2 linked regions of the Lepisosteus oculatus genome follow. The protein of the gene in region 2 binds, or shares a complex with, the protein of the main gene of each other region. Links are inferred from orthologs where the notes say so. Each region holds a gene or a part of one and is shown on either strand. Other genes may lie near its edges.

What was found. The genes of interacting proteins can lie anywhere in the genome.
Region 1: the proteins of ap3m1 (region 2) and lamp1a are in contact, whole or in part, in a cryo-EM structure (PDB 9C5A), measured with the Homo sapiens proteins. The link is inferred for Lepisosteus oculatus from reciprocal best matches to the Homo sapiens genes AP3M1 and LAMP1. Residues at the interface, in NP_001307192.1 of Homo sapiens: Glu178, Tyr180, Phe181, Asp182, Gln381, Val389, Asn390, Arg391, Leu392, Phe402, Lys403, Gly404, Val405, Lys406; in NP_005552.3 of Homo sapiens: Ser410, His411, Gly413, Tyr414, Gln415, Thr416, Ile417.

What each region holds. Positions count from the first base shown.
Region 1 is NC_090710.1:28,757,324-28,765,399, reverse strand, and holds the start of lamp1a (lysosome-associated membrane glycoprotein 1a), read right to left. Parts: upstream 3,410-8,076; 5' UTR 3,152-3,409; coding exon 3,091-3,151; intron 1-3,090. UniProt on the Homo sapiens protein: Lysosomal membrane glycoprotein which plays an important role in lysosome biogenesis, lysosomal pH regulation, autophagy and cholesterol homeostasis.
Region 2 is NC_090699.1:17,732,299-17,740,081, reverse strand, and holds the start of ap3m1 (AP-3 complex subunit mu-1), read left to right. Parts: upstream 1-4,404; 5' UTR 4,405-4,535; intron 4,536-4,644; 5' UTR 4,645-4,692; intron 4,693-5,138; 5' UTR 5,139-5,148; coding exon 5,149-5,421; intron 5,422-6,540; coding exon 6,541-6,712; intron 6,713-6,937; coding exon 6,938-7,075; intron 7,076-7,638; coding exon 7,639-7,724; intron 7,725-7,783. Other genes in the region: adka (adenosine kinase), read right to left, coding at 4,042-4,097. UniProt on the Homo sapiens protein: Part of the AP-3 complex, an adaptor-related complex which is not clathrin-associated. The complex is associated with the Golgi region as well as more peripheral structures.

The DNA of each region.
Region 1 (8,076 bases), on a different chromosome or scaffold from region 2:
AACACCAAATACTAGTTCAGTGATTCTACATTCACTGGACTCCCACAGTGTTATCCAGCCCTCCACGTCTACAAGATCAATATTGACCAAATGTCATAATGCTCTGGTAGTTTAATCAGTGATCAAGACCGAAGCATTCCAAACTTTCCTTGGACAAGGAGTGCAAATGGTCGCATTTCAAAACACAACATCACAGAGACCGGGATCTTGAAAAGGCACCACAGGTCTAGTTTAAATGGATGTGTGACAAAAACTATAAAATACTGGAGAAGCCCAACCTTTTACCAAAATCCCCACACACTCCACAGAACTGATTCACTCAAATGTTTTACCCACAAGCCAATTCCCTAAATTCCCCTTCATTTCCCATCCTAAACTAGCACATTCACAAGCCAACTTCAGAAAACAGGCTTTGTTTTTTTTTTTTAAGTTAGAACTGAAGGAGAGGCTCTTGAGAACTCCCCCCTTCTGTCAAGGCCTGACCACCTGGCCTCCGGGCTCCCACAGAAGGTCAGCAGACTAACAGACTAGCGAACAGGCCTAAAACACCACCGCGTAGCTACACGGCGTCAGTGACCGCTTTCCAACGACAGCGCCGACAACTGAACCCCGTTATTAACCCCCTTGTCCAGAGCCCCAGAGACCGTTATGGGTTTAAAGGGGTGCACGTCCAGCAAGCAGGATGCAAGGAGCTCGCATGCAGACGTTCCCCCGTTGCCTCCAGAGAACTGTACCCAGAGCAAAGGCCCTCCAGCCTCAACAGAACCGCCGCAGGCGCACACGGCCCACTCACTCTGGATCTCCGCTCCTCTCTCACACCGAGTGCTCCCGGGAGGGGAGAAGAACACCAACAACGAGTGACACCGCCTTCCCAGCAGGGGCCACGCCCCCAGCCCGTCACACCGGACCAGCGGGATGAGGCCGACCGACCCGGACGAGCACAACCCCACTCAGGAGCGACCTCCATTGGACCCTCCATCAAAAAGACCCGAGCTTCCATGAAATATTCATAATACTTGCGTTCTAAAAAAATAAAAAAAACCCTCAAGTTATCGCACGATTTCCGCGCAGCAAACGGGAACAGATCCATCCCTCCCGAGAGCCGTCCCCATCCTTCGGTTCCAAAGCGGCCTCCGGCCAGGGCTTCAGCTCCGGCTGCAAGCGGAGAGCTCAGGTTTCATATTAACCCCACGTCAGGCGTCACTGCCGACGCCAAACGGTCACGCTAGAACTTCACCTTCAGATCGAAACAAACACTGAACAGGACTGTAGCGCAATGTCACAAAATATCATTTCAAACAAACGAAAAAAAAAGATCAGCAGGCCTGCGCGGGGGGTAAGGACTGGTGTGGCAATAAAGAGTGCGCTTCATAACCAGGCTATAATTACGCAAGAGGCAGAAAGCTTTATTTAGAGCATTCAGTGTCAAAGGACTTATCAACCTGTTGCCTCTGAACAATGTTTATCTTTCCAGGAAAGGCAGGTATGGAACAACTCTGGCAGAACCAGTTTCAAAATCATCCACTGTGCTAAAAAAAAAAAAAAAAAAAAGCCTCTCATTCATCATGTTTTTTCATGCAATTAAAGAGGCATCAAGTGCACAGCCCCACCAGACCTGGCTGCCCCTTCCCTAGGTCACGACATTAACTAGACACCTGGACAGCGGGGGTACAGAACAGTTTCACATCTCCTGGGAGGAAGATGTGATTTTAAAGAGGTATTTGGAAGAAGCCAGGTGACAAAGAAAAAAGAGAATCTCTCCAGCGTTATTTTAACTACCTGGCTCTAACTGAAACCCAAGATCAGATCACTTTATTGGCCATATACAATTTCTTGCATTAGGAATTTGTACCCCAGCTTGCTCTCCATGAGACACACAGACAGGGAGAGAAGCTGGGGGTCAGAGTGCAGGGTCAGCCATTTATACAGCGCCCCTGGAGCAGCTGGGGTGAAGGGCCCCAACAGAGTAGGATTCCTCTGCCGGGCATCGTCACCTTTGTCACGAATTGTGTGCGTCACTGGTGGACTGTCAAAACCCAGGGCCCGTCTCCTTGTGGGGGGTTCACGCGTGGAGCCCAGCGATATCGGAGCCGTTCAAGTCGTGCGTGAACACCCCTTTCCCCGGGAAGCCGTGCGGACACCAGAACCCACTACGCGCATTTAAAGACCTTAACGCAGGCTTAATCGCCACCCCCGAGAAAGCAGGAACCTTTAGGTTTTGTTTTGGTTTTTTTTTTGTTTTTTTACACCCGGGTAGGTTACGCACGCCGGCGATTGGAAAGGCGTCAGCGCCAGTAAGTCCCAAGCTCGAACCGGAACCGGCGTTTTTTTTTTTAATTTTGTTATGAAACGTCGTTCACGGCTCGCCGAAGACGGACAGCCAGCGAGCCCCGCTCCCTCTGGGGTCGTGTGCCGCCGCAGGGCGGACAGACAGCGAGGCCACTGTGCTGCCGGAGCTGGAGCTGCTGTTGTTGTTGTTGTTCCTCGTCTTCACCGAGCGCCTCTGCCGTCACGTGAGGCGACGCCGAGACAATGGACCGGCCGCGCGCCGCCCCGCTCCCTCCTCGCGCCCGCGGCCAGCAGGCGGCTCGCTCGCACCTGAGCGCCACCGACGTCGCGACTTAACACGACCGGGAGGGGAGGGGAGGGGCGGCTGCACCCCCTCCTCCTCCTCTTTTTAACGCAACACTCAATGTCAAAAATGTTATTTTATTGGGACGTTATTCCTATTAAAAGGAAAACAGAAAGCAGGCTCCGTTTGGCTGCTGGCGGTCCCTCGGTGCTACGTACCCTCCTTGAAAATGCCACTGCTCGGCTACTTAAAGACGCGCAATGTCAGGTTTTATCTTTTGAAACATGGGGACAGAAAATGGGGAGTGGGGGAGGAGAGAGAGAGAGAGAGAGCCTAGCGGTCTGGCTAGCTGCCCCGGTCAACCCGGTACGGACGGCCAAACCAATAACACAGCAGCCGCCCGGGTCTCCTGGAGAGCAGCGCGTCTCGTCCGAGCCCGTCCCCGCTGCGCCCTTGTGTCAACACGAAACAACCGGGCTGACACACGGCTCCCACGCACGGCCGCCGCCGCCACTCACCCAGCAGAGCCAGCAGAGCCATCCCGGCGAGGAAAGCGCGTTTGCCGGAGCGCTGGGCCATGTCGTCAGAGCGCGGCTGACTCGGTAGATCACGCAAAACACGGCCCCGGTGGACTGGGACAGCCGACGAGACAGTCACGCAAAGGGGCCTCCACGCCGCCGAGCCACGCACTGCGCCTCCTTCCCACTCGTCCTGAGCTGTATCCCCGGGGTTTTTTTGTTTTTTGTTTTTATCTCAGCCTCGCACTCCGAAGGCGATCGACCCGGCCCAGACCCGCTCGCAGAAATCCGTCTCTCTCCCTCTGTCCGCCGCTGTACCAGGAAGAAGTGTCCCAGTCACGTGAGGCCCCTTTAAGCCCCCCCCTCGCGCGGTCACGTGAGCCCGGGCCCGCGCCGCCCTCGCGAGAGCCTCCCTCTCCGGGGGGAGGGGGCTGGAATGTCTTCCTCGCCGTGTCGCGACCGTAAAGTGGGGATTGCCACAGAGTTGCGTGGATGTTGGACATCCCACCCCGGCTGCGGTGGTGTGTGTGTACACGCGGGGTCTTTTTTCTTCTCTCTTCGTCGGGGAAGGACGCCTTTGACACAAAACTAGACTCGTACGAACAGCGCAGTCGGGCTCGGGCACCGACCTCCCCCCTCCTCTCTCTCAGCTGCTGTGTGACCATGAGTGTCCCTCTCGTCAGCACCAACGCGCACGGACCAAAATAAAAACAAGTGTGTTTTTGAACACACGTTTTGTATTCTTAATTATACAACCGGCGAATAAGAGACAGGCACCCCCCCCTTGGTCGCTAGAAATCTGGAAATTATGTAACTGATCATCTGGTCACTAGATATCATGCAATTAACCCCGTTGTGTCCCAGGGTAAATGACAAATCGAAAGGGAAAGGTTTGGAGTGCAGATGTTTGTGCCACAAATGGAGGTGTGACCTTGGAACGTGGCCCTGTGTTTGTGTGGGTTACCTCTGGGTGCTTCAGTTTCCACCCCCTGTCCAAAGACATGCTGGTGGGTTAAGTGACTTGTGTGAAAACTGCCCCTGGTGTGTGTGTGTGTGTGCCCTGCGATGGACGGGACACCTGTCCAGGGTGTACCCCAGCTTTGCTTGCTGGGAGGGGCTCCCGCTCCCCCGCTACCCTGTATTACAGCTGGCATTTAGGAGGACTTGCTGGTCGACAGAAAACTGCACGGGGTACTGGCACACAGAAGGACCTGATGGAAGACTTAATACTCCACATTTAGTACTTCTGTAGAAGTGTATCATATGAGCATGCCCAGAGGGGTCGGGCAGCCAGCTGACCTTGGACCCCTAGAGGTTTCTTTCCTCCTTACAGAGGAGTTTTTGGTCCCTCTCCTCCGTCGTCTCTTGGCCTTTTCTCTTCCTGTACTGTAACCTCCTGTACTGTCACACACAGCTTTGTTCAGCGCCTTGGGCCAACCTGGTTGTGAAAGGCGCTATATAAAAATAAACTGAATTGAAAATTGGAGTAGGCGGAGGGGAAAACAGATGAGTGGTAGATCCTCTTCGTAAGGACTGGAAGTAATCAGCATAGGAGCAGAAATGGAGTGGTGGGCTTGTTACGGCATCAATGAGACGAAGGCCCACACAACAACGTGAGCTGGGGAAATAAAATCAGGAATACCGTGGAGCTGTCACAAGGCAACGTCGAGAAGAAACTCGTCGGTCCTGCGTTTCCATGAAGTAAAAACAACATTATGAGGCCCTGGATCATTACACAGGTGTGACCACACCTAGAACGCCACGTGATGGGCCAGAATACCGAAAGAAAAATACCTGTGCTCAAACAATCTGTTCTCTCACGAATAGCACGACCGAGGAAAAGACAAAGGTGGAAAAGAACTTTGTGCAATGTGTTTGCCTTTTTAAATACATAACCAGGGAGCGCGGAGCACATTCAGCAAACAGGTAATCATCTCTTCTATTGCAAAACGCAAAACTGAGCTCTGTGCTTTTCGCTTTTGTTCACCGAAACGTGCCGTTCTGGGAGATTCAAGGTTCAAAAGCCCGACTTCCTTCCCAGAGAGGCAGAACACAATGAAGTAGTTCAGGTGGGGAGCTGCGTCAGCAGGCGGTGGCTGCAAAGGAACCAGTAAAGGTTTGTTCCCTGCTGAAAAGAGAAGGAAACAACGTTTCGGCTGTGGAGCCTTCTTTGGGTGCAAGAAGGCTCCACAGCCGAAACGTTGTTTTCTTTCTTCTCTTTTCAGAACACAATGAAGATGAGCCGAGGCCTGTTGAAGCGGGACCGTGGTGCCAGATGTCTCTTGGGATACACATGTACTGGACTCCTGCAAGACTTTCAAGCTGCAAAGTCAAAACAGGCCTCATTTGGTTGTAAAGGAGTTCCCGCAAAGAAGAGTCACAACCTGACCCTCTTATTTGGTTAAAATACATCCATTTGACAGCATCAAACCTGTTCCATAATATATGCAGGGCACACATTTAAACTGGTGTATGAGCCTCAGAACTTGGACTTCTCTCAAGACAAATGAGTTCCAGGAGTCACAACGAAGCATGCCTGTCATGTGATGGGTATTTTAGGGCAAGTCATGAATGGGATTGTAATTTCTGGAGCACTGTGAACCAGAACTTACAAAAAGAACAAGTAAAAACAAAAGTTTTGTTTGTTAGGATAAAAAGCAATGTGCTAATATTGAAAAGGCTGTTTGGGAGCAACAGGCAGAAGAACTCTTCACAATCCTTAGGCAGCAGACAGACATTCCTGACAACTGTTTTTTTTTTCTGTAAAGATCTGTTGGGAAAGGAAGCCCTGAAAATACTTTATATTTGCAGAATTCCAGAATTTGTATGGTCCTCAGGATCATCCACCTAGATACACAGCAGCTAACAGCTAAAAAAAAAAAAAAAAAAGAGAAAGAAAAACAGTATTTCCTTCATTTTATTATCTATGCAATATCAGCACCTTTTGTTTCACCATTGTACAGAAGTGCATGTACTGTAAAGTGTTTCAGTTTCCCGTAACAGCACAACCTGGCTGCTGGTAAAGGGTTGGAACAGATTACGTTAACGAGACTGTAGAAGCGATGGATACCCATGAAGAATAATAAGACATGGCACCAAATACTGAGATTGCTTTTTTAAAAATAAAATACCACAATGCTATTATACAGTACTTAGCAAATACACGAAACGTCGTGTTTTCTTTCTTCTCTTTTCAGAACACAATGAAGATGAGCCGAGGCCTGTTGAAGTGGGACCGTGGTGCTGGCAGCATGCAGCCCAGATGTCTCTTGGGATACACATGTACTGGGCTCCTGCAAGTCTTTCAAGCTGTGAGGTCAAAACCTCAAAATCATCACTTCACCGATCCCTGTGAACACAGTAAAGTCCACAGGCAGGTGCAGAAGTCGGTGGCAACTCCTGCAACATATCTGTCTGAGCTACTGTGCTCAAGTAGCATATCATAAGCAGTGCTTCTGGTGTAATTTTCCACAGGGGCAGCCCAGCGGAGCAGTGGTCAGCACTGCTGTCGGGCAGGGCCCCTAGGTGCAGTTCCTCGGTGTGAGGTTTGCACATCGTCCCCGTGCGTTCGCATGGGTCTCCTGCCCCAGGCCAAAGGCACACTGGTACATTCTACATTCTTTCCAAAGTAGTTCAGGTGGGTAGCTGCGTCAGCATGCGTAGGCTGCAAAGGAACAAGTAATAGGTTTATTCCATGCTGATAAAAAGAAGAAAGAGAACACAACGTTTCGGCCGTGGAGCCTTCTTCAGGTGAGGAGCCACCTGAAGAAGGCTCCACGGCCGAAACGTTGTGTTCTCTTTCTTCTTTTTTTCAGCATGGAATAAACCTATTACTTATTCTTTCCAAAGGTTCAGTTTAATTTAGAAATCTGTAAAGGTAGTTTATAACCGGACAAGAAGGAAGAATTAGCCGGACAAAGGACTTCGCTTTTTGATTAACGATTCGGTTTAAGGCTACTTCATCCTACATACAGTATAGCGCATATTTAGGTTAATGGGCTTCTGGGAGAACTGGCCCCATCGTGAGTGTGCGTGTCTGCGTCTGTGTGCCTCCGGTGATGGACAGGATGTATCCCACCGTGTGCCCTGAGCTCTCCAGGATAGGCTCCAGCCCACCAGACTTGAACGGGCCGCATCAGCGGTTATTTGAAAGTGATGTGGTCTATCTGTTCTTACTGGAGTGAGTGCAGTGGTAGCCAGCAGCCATATCACCCTGCAACTCACAACTGGCAACCCACTGAAGCTAAGCAGGTGTGGGCCTGTTCCATGTTTTGTTCCATGTTAATTTTATTATTTTTATTTGCTTTGGCAACACTGATTGTATCCATCAGTCATGCTAATAAAGCACCTTGAATTGAATTGAATTGACCTGGATGGGAGACCTCCTGGGAAAAACTGAGGTTGCTGCTGGAAGAGGTGTTAGTGGGGCCAGCAGGGGGCGCTCACCCTGTGGCCCACGTGGGTCCTAATGCCCCAGTATAGTGATGGTGACACTATACTGTAAACGGGTGCCGTCCTTCGGATGAGACGTAAAACCGAGGTCCTGACTCTCTGTGGTCATTAAAAATCCCAGGCCGTCTCTCGAAAAGAGTAGGGGTGTAACCCTGGTGTCCTGGCCAAAAAAAAAAAATTCCCATTGGCTCTTACCAATCATGGCCTCCTAATAATCCCCCTCTATGAACTGGCTTCATCACTCTGCTCTCCTCCCCACTGAGAGCTGATGTGTGGTGAGAGTACTGGTGCACTATGGCTGCCGTCACATCATCCAGGTGGGGCTGCACATTGGTGGTGGTGGAGGGGAGTCCCCATTACCTGTAAAGCGCTTTGAGTGGAGTGTCCATAAATACATAAGTGTAAGCAATTAATTAATTAATCATGTATGAAACACAGCTGGCAGGTGACCAACAACTACAGGGCAGCTAACCAACATGGGGAGTCTGGAAGCAGCAGCAGCTTAGCCGAGCTGGACTCCTGGTGAGCTCCACA
Region 2 (7,783 bases):
ATGCAATTACATCAATAAATACAGTAAGTGGTTGACTAACAGCTTCCTTCCATTTAGCAGTACTTTTAGAAAACCACATATTGACTGTGAGAATCAATAAATGAAATACCCTCCATTTTACAGAGATTATATTACATTTTAAAATATGAATCTGAACCACGGGACCGTGACCACTTTTAACTTTCAAGTCTCTGTAAATTAGCAGGAAAGTAAAGGCTGCTGACATTTCACTCAATTGTGTTCTCCAAGAAGAGAAAGACACCCACCCTTTCCTTTGTTTTCATCTGCTACCTGTATCTAAAATGTTCACACTTAATGTAAACAGAAATGACACCAAGATGTGTGAACAAAACCCCAGTGCATAAAGACCCTCCCACAGAACCCCGGCATTACAGAAATATTCCAAGAAAAAGAAGGGAGAGAAGGGAACATTTCTGCAGGAAAGTCACGGCAAGTCATGTATAAAATTTAAAATGCTTATGTAAGACACTATATTTAACCGCAGCTGTCTCAAGGGTGGATAAAGCATTAAACCGTGAAAGACCGCGAAAGGTTTTCCACCTCCATGCTCTGTGCTTCCGAAGGGCCCTCACTCCAGAAGCCGACCCCCCTCCCCTCCTGACACTGGTCGCTCTGTACTGCGGAGGAGACAGCCGAACGTCAGGATTCACGGACCTTCCTCGTTCCCCCTCAACACGCGCTCGCCCTGACTCGCCCTCGCCCCGAGGAAACGGCTCTCCCAGGAAACCAGCAGGGACTCGACTCGGCTTCAGGCGCACCAGCTGCAGCGCCCCGGGCCCTGCAGAACGGTCGAGTGTTTGCGATGCAGATGGTCAAGCGCAGGGTAATGCCAAGCAGAAAAGGAGAAAGGCTTTCCGCTCCTGGGCCTTCTTCAGGCGCGAGAGAGCTCCCGCCTCCTCCTCCTCTTCAGCCTGGGATTAGCTCCTCCGCCAGCACACACAGAAGCAGGTCCAGATTTTCCCCACATGTCAACAGGAAAGAAGGAGGACCGGCTCTGCCCGTGTCCCACCGCCACTGCAGCAGAGCCCGAGCACGGCCTTCTGGAACCACACTCGCCACGTGCTGTACAGCAGAAAGCCCTCGTGCACCCCTATCAGAACCCTTAAAGCCTCAACGAGACGGCAGCGTGAAACAATGTTTCCTCACATCGCGTTCCACCCCCAAAACTTTCAAAACTATTCCCTGGCTGCAGGCTAGATCAGACCAATGTAAATGTGAGATTTTTCATTTTGGCAGCAATGAGGTTTCCCCAGCACAGAGGACTGTAAAACTTCCAGCACGTTCTCAGAGTCATTAAGTCATCCCTGGGAGGGCAGGAAACTTCTTTCAAAAGCAGATGAAAAGAAACAGTTCCCTCCTGCATCAGGTTGCGTAGTTGACCTCACACAAAGACAGGCCCCTACATTTTTTTTTTTTACCATTAACAATCCGGTTTGGACAGTTGCAGGAATTTAACTATTTTACCTCCCCCCAGGGACTGAACTAAAAAAAAAAAACGTTGCAACCACACATTTATGCAAGTTAAGTCATGAATATGGACTACAACTTTATCCAAGTGGTGCACAGAACCTACAACACACTTTTAAAACATTTAACACTGAAATGTTGTGAACAGTCACCACATAAGTCAGAAGTTGAAGACCAATAAGACAGGAAAAAAAAAAAACACACCATGTAACGTCCCGAATTCCAAAGCACTGCTCCATCTAATCTCCCAGCGATCCCTGCTAGAAGACACCAAGGAGCACATATGCTGCAAGACAAACTGCTGTGCTGGAGCCTCTCACAACAGGTGGAGATTTCAGGCCATTCCGAGCTATGCACTCACCAAAACCCAGAAATGCTTGTCGGTGCGAATTCCAAACTGCATATCAACCGCCTACAGATAGTTCTCTTGCACCTTACGGCTATATGCAAGATGCATGAGAATAAATACGAATCATTCTAAAAAACATTACCATTAGCATCATGCGCGGGGTGTCTGTGCATGGCCATAAAGGAAACTTCCACATCTCAAACTTAAAAACAAGCACGAATTTCTACTGCAAGTCAAAAAAATAAATAATAAATGAAGGGCTCGTGCTCCGAACAAGAATGTGATGTGCATTAACTTTTCCAACCCCACCCACGCGCAATTAACTCATCTGCGTGCACGCAGAACGTAGTTTCAACATGTCAAAACCTTCGTCTGAGACCGATAAAATGCCATATCTGTATCGCTGTATCGATCAACGATATTCATGTTGGTCAGTATGCAATGCCACATCAAATAAATCTAATATGCAAGGTATGCTCTTGCACGCCTGCAGTCTGCAGTAGACCATCACTGACCTGTCACCGCCACTAATGCCCCCTAATGCTCCGTATCAAGGCATCATTACCTTATTGCGGGCATGTTCGCTAGCGAGAGGTCCTGGCGCAGCCGGGTGACAAGCAGCAGACAGGCTCCCCCGTGTTAATCTGAGCAGAAAGCCAGCCGCGGCAGCGTGCTCTCTGTATCAGTTTGCCCCTGAAACCGGAACCCCCGCCTGTATTCTTGAATTGATTGGCCGACACACAAGGGGGCGGGGCGGATTATATACCACGTCCGCGGTTGGCTGCGTCATTGTCGCTCGGGGTCCTAGAACTGCACATTTTTGTTAGAAGTGGGAGACGGCGCCGTCTTGAATGCAAAAGTGATATGCACTGCCTAGCAAGTCCCATCTCGCTAAACTCTGTGATGTCTGGTCCTTACACGCTGCAAAGAAGGATCTGGGCCAAAATTGCGTGTTTCACGGGGGGAAGATTTTAAAACATTCGAATTCGTTTTCTGAAAAGCCCTTTCACTATTTTTAAGACGTGGAAGGCGTTTTGTATGACTTTTGTGCTCCCGCAATCGTAGCAGAACAGTTTGAAACACTAATCTGACATGATTCTGCGTGCTGCAATCCAAGACTTGCGATCCTGAGATCACTGAATTCTTAATGGAAACCGTTCATTTCAGCTCGATTCTCAACAAGTTAACTAATCGACGACTTAAAACAGAAAAGTGGATGCATTTATACAATCCACTGAGTCCCCGATATCAAACACCTGAAGCCAGACATACCTAGCACAGTCAAGGAGTTTGTAGCAATAACTTTAAAATTGCTGTTTAAATTCATCATGACTATTCAATTGATCGCGTGTGTGGGGGGGGGGACACTAATTTACAATTGATATTTGTGAGAACTTCGGGGGGGGGGGGGAACATCTCATGCCAATTAAAGCAAATATAAAAAAAGGCATTTGAACTCCTAAGACCTTTCCTCCTAAAGGCGGGCAACCTGTTCAACTCCATGCCAAAAACTTCGCCCCTCTAGCGATTAGCTGCTCCGCGGCACCTCCCCGCCCCGCCGGCTGACCAGCCGGTTACCCAGCGAGCGCCGGGGTCAGCTCCGACCTGCGCGGCTTGTGTAACAGGGAGACGTCAGCCCCCGCCGCGCGGCTCGCCGCTACACATAACAAAAGACACGTGGAGGGAACTCTGCACTGAGCAGCGCGAGCAGGCGACCTTCCGGGCTGCACGCTCACCGCCCCGGCATGTTCAAGGCAGCTCGGAAGCGCTGCCGCTTTGCGCTATCCATGAACATAGAGATAGAAACAACAGAGCCTTCCTCGGCCACCGCTAAGCAGTTATAATGAGCCAGCGAAGGGTGCATTCATGCTCCGAAATGCACGCGATTCATCTGTTTTAATCAAGACGGTAGACTTAACTAACGCTATAGTACTTTTTAAAAATGGACCCGATTCTTAAGATTATTTTCACTACAATAATACTCCCCTTTGCCCTGGACTAGACGACTGTTTATCTAGTATCCACAAGCATAAGAGTACTTGAAAATTGATGGTAACTTTTACTTTTTTAAATAAGAACCCGGTTCCCATCAAACCCCCCCCATCCCAAACACAACCCGCAGAGCCCGGTGTAACGAACGGGTTAATTTCTCTCAAATAAGGGCGAGCAGTGCACTCAGTTAATAAAGCAGTTTTCCGGACTACCTGAGCTCCTTTTCCTCCAGCTTCGGTTTCTTAGCTTGCGGTTCCTCAGATGCCATCTTCAGCGTACGTCTGCCTGAGCCACCTTGACCAAAAGAGCCAAGAAAAAGTCGTGGGGGAAAAAAAAGGAGTTAAAAACGGCTAAGTTGTCCGCGGAGAACGCCTGAGTGTAGCCGCCGCGAAGGAGCTGCTCTGTCGTTCTTGACCGAATTCAAAGGGAAAATCCGTATAGTTTATAATAAAATAAAATTACAAAAAAAAGTTAAATTCGCACTTGGATAAAGTACTTGCCGTTTTTGTCCCGTCTCTGTGCGCAGGCTGCAGGCACAGAAGTCGGGACTCTCGCAGGGGTCCATGCGGGAGCACAGCGCGGCCATATTGCCACACCGCAGAAGCGGAACTGAGCTCGCACTTCAAGGTACTGGATTGCGCTACTTTATATCTTTCTGCGGGAGGATTTCTTTCGTTTAACCCGCATCGAGGAAATCTGCAGGCTCGTAAGTAGCAAGATTTTTTAAAATGATTAATTTTAGTTACAGCGGGGCTTTGGTTGTGTTCCCCGCATCAAATACTCGAGACAGACAAAGTTTTTGGTTAAATCTACAGGTTGTCTTCTGTACACAGAGACCGGACTACTTGAGAGAACAAAATCATGTAAGATTTAAGTCTGAGCACATTTGCGTGGTTTTAAGTGACGCTGTACTTCGTTATCTATGGCTCACTGGCGCTGTTTTATCAAACTTTCCTATTTTAATTCCACTGTCCTGTTGCACACTTCTCCCTACGTCCTGCGTTTACCTGCACCCGGGCGATGGGGGCTGATCTCTGTCAGGGATTAAGTTTTTTAATTAACTAGTTGACAGCCTCGGCTAACGGCCTGGACTCCGAGGTGCCGGCGAAGTGTGCACAGCAAGAGTTTCATTGTCGAGGTGAGCCGTCCGTATCGCCCCGCCGACAGAAACCCCCGGATTCTACTTTTACTCAGTGGGAACGTTATGGTAGCGTGTACCCCGGGCGGTGGAGAAAGAGCAAACCCAGCCAGACTGCCGAGCCAAAGCCGTAACTCATCGGCTGCTTTTGAACCTTGGCGTTTTCTCCAGCCCGACCACCATGATCCACAGCCTGTTCCTGATCAACCCCGCGGGCGACATCTTCCTGGAGAAGCACTGGAAAAGTGCGGTGAGCCGCTCCGTGTGCGACTACTTCCTGGAGGCGCAGGGCAAGGTGTCCGAGCCGCAAAACGTGCCGCCGGTCATCCCCACGCCACACCACTACCTCATCAACATCCTCCGCGGCAAGATCTTCTTCGTGTCCGTCTGCCAGACCGAGGTGCCGCCCCTCTTCGTGATCGAGTTCCTGCATCGCGTGGCGGAGACGTTTCAGGTGAGCCGTCGCGCGGCCTCGGTTGGGGTGGGGGGTCGATTTTAACTCTTTCTTTAAAAAATACAAGCTTGTGCTTTGTGCACGGATTGATGTAGCTGACCCTTGTCTGGGGTAACGGTCGATAAAAGCGTTTCTCTGGAGTATTGCTTTCCGTCTTCATCGGAAGTATTTCTTCAGTTAAAGGGAGGTGCAGGTGAAATTTGCATTATGCTTTCCCCTTTTCTTCTTAAGAACTCCATATATAAAATAATAATAATTGTTGTCCGTGGGAGGTAACACGCAGGTAGCACACCTAGCCCTTGTTCGGGGTACTCGGGTCTCTTCTGGTTTTTGTTCCAGCTGCGTTTTTAATCGCAGGGTAATCGATTTCAGTTTGCTGTTTCAGCTCTTATAAAATAAGATCACTTTATTAGCCATATACAGTTTCTTGCATTAGGAATTTGTCTATTTCTCATACCCCAGCTTGCTCTCCATGAGACATACAGGCAGGGAGAGACGCTGGGGGTTAGAGTGCAGGGTCTGCCATTGTACAGCGCCCCTGGAGCAGTTGGGGTTAAGGGCCTTGCTCAGGGGCCCAACGGAGTAGGTCTTAATGTCTTTGCCACCTGTCTAGTATCCTGTACCTGTATCAAGCTATCAACCTTGTATCATCTATTATAAGTGCTGGTTAGCCATAAATAAGCAAATTTCTAATACGTTTATAAAGTCACTCCTAATTTCCTGTATAATTTCCTGTATAATTTGGAGCACTACACTTTTAAATCAAAACCCAAATGTTTAAATGATTCAACGAAATTGCGAACTCCCAAACAGGCCCGTTAAAGGCATCGGGCAGCTCCAGCGATTCAAAGCACAGCTGGGACAAAAACCAGTGGGCAAAGAGTGTTTTATCTCCTGAGGTGTGTTGATAGGGTTGGCCCAGGGGACTGTTTCATGCTTGGGGGGGGGGGGGGGATTCTGACCCAGGGTCTGAGCTGGGAACTAACGGGGAATTAAACTAGGATGATGCGTCATTTCACTTTCTACCGTACTATCAGAAAGGCAGGCAGGGCCGAATGGCCTCCTCTTTGCTATTTTTCTTGTGTTCTGAAGTGTGTTTTGTGTGTCTTTCCAAAACAGGATTACTTTGGAGAGTGCTCGGAGGCTGCTGTAAAAGACAATGTAGTTATTGTGTATGAGCTTCTTGAGGAGATGCTAGATAATGGCTTTCCTTTGGCTACAGAGTCAAACATCTTGAAAGAGCTGATCAGACCGCCCACGATCCTGCGCTCTGTTGTCAATACCATCACAGGTAAATCCTGAAAGCCCCCTGTACTTTCCCCCCACAGCCTTGCGCCACGTCACTGGGAAGTTCTGCAGAGTTCAGAACCCCCAGAATAATAAGTAGAATCTTTTTTTTTTTTACAAAAACACTAGTTTGGAACTTATTCACCAGGGACTGATGGTCTCTTTCCACTTTGTTTTGTGCGTTTTGAGTGGTCTCCATGGAAATGCTGCAATCTTCTAAATATTGCAGGCAGCAGCAATGTTGGGGAGACGCTGCCGACTGGTCAGCTGTCCACTATCCCCTGGAGGAGGGCCGGGGTCAAGTACACTAACAACGAAGCTTACTTCGACGTGGTGGAGGAAATAGATGCCATTCTGGACAAGTCAGGTACAGTCGTGATGCTTCACGCTGGTGCGCGTGCACATGATTTTACCTGTTACACTGACACACACAAAGCTGGAGTCAAGCACTTGTGTGAAGTACTTCTGGACACGCAAAAAATGATGTTCTGTCCTGAAAAGGTGTTTTCTGTTGCTTCACAAGAAGAAAGTCTGGTTTTTCAAAGATGTCATCCTGCAGTAACTTTGACACTGAGCTGTGCTCCAACTCCTGACAAGCACAGTTGCTGTCTGTCTGACCGAGTGTGTTGCATAGCACATTGTGCCAGTCTAGATGAGGTTGTCACTCTCCCTTAGCAAAGGAAACACTTGTGCAGGCTGCTTTCGGTTATTAATTTTCTTCTTCTGAGGTTGTAATGCACAATGATTTACTCTAATAAAATGGCTAGCATCAGATTCTAAATAAAAACGGGAGGTTAAGATACCTCAGCCACTCATTTCAGTGAGAAGGTTATTATTGAAAAAACAATGTCCGCTGTTGAAATGCTGACTGCACTTTTGCCGTAGATTTGTAAAATGGCGCAAAGGAATTGTTCTCTCTGGTTTTGACAGGCACAACAGTGTTTGCAGAAATCCAGGGCGTTGTAGATGCTTGCGTCAAGCTGTCAGGAATGCCAGACCTCACACTGTCTTTCATGGTAAGAAATTGCACTGGCGCAGTGACATTGTATTTCAGCCTGGTACCAGGCTAGAGAGA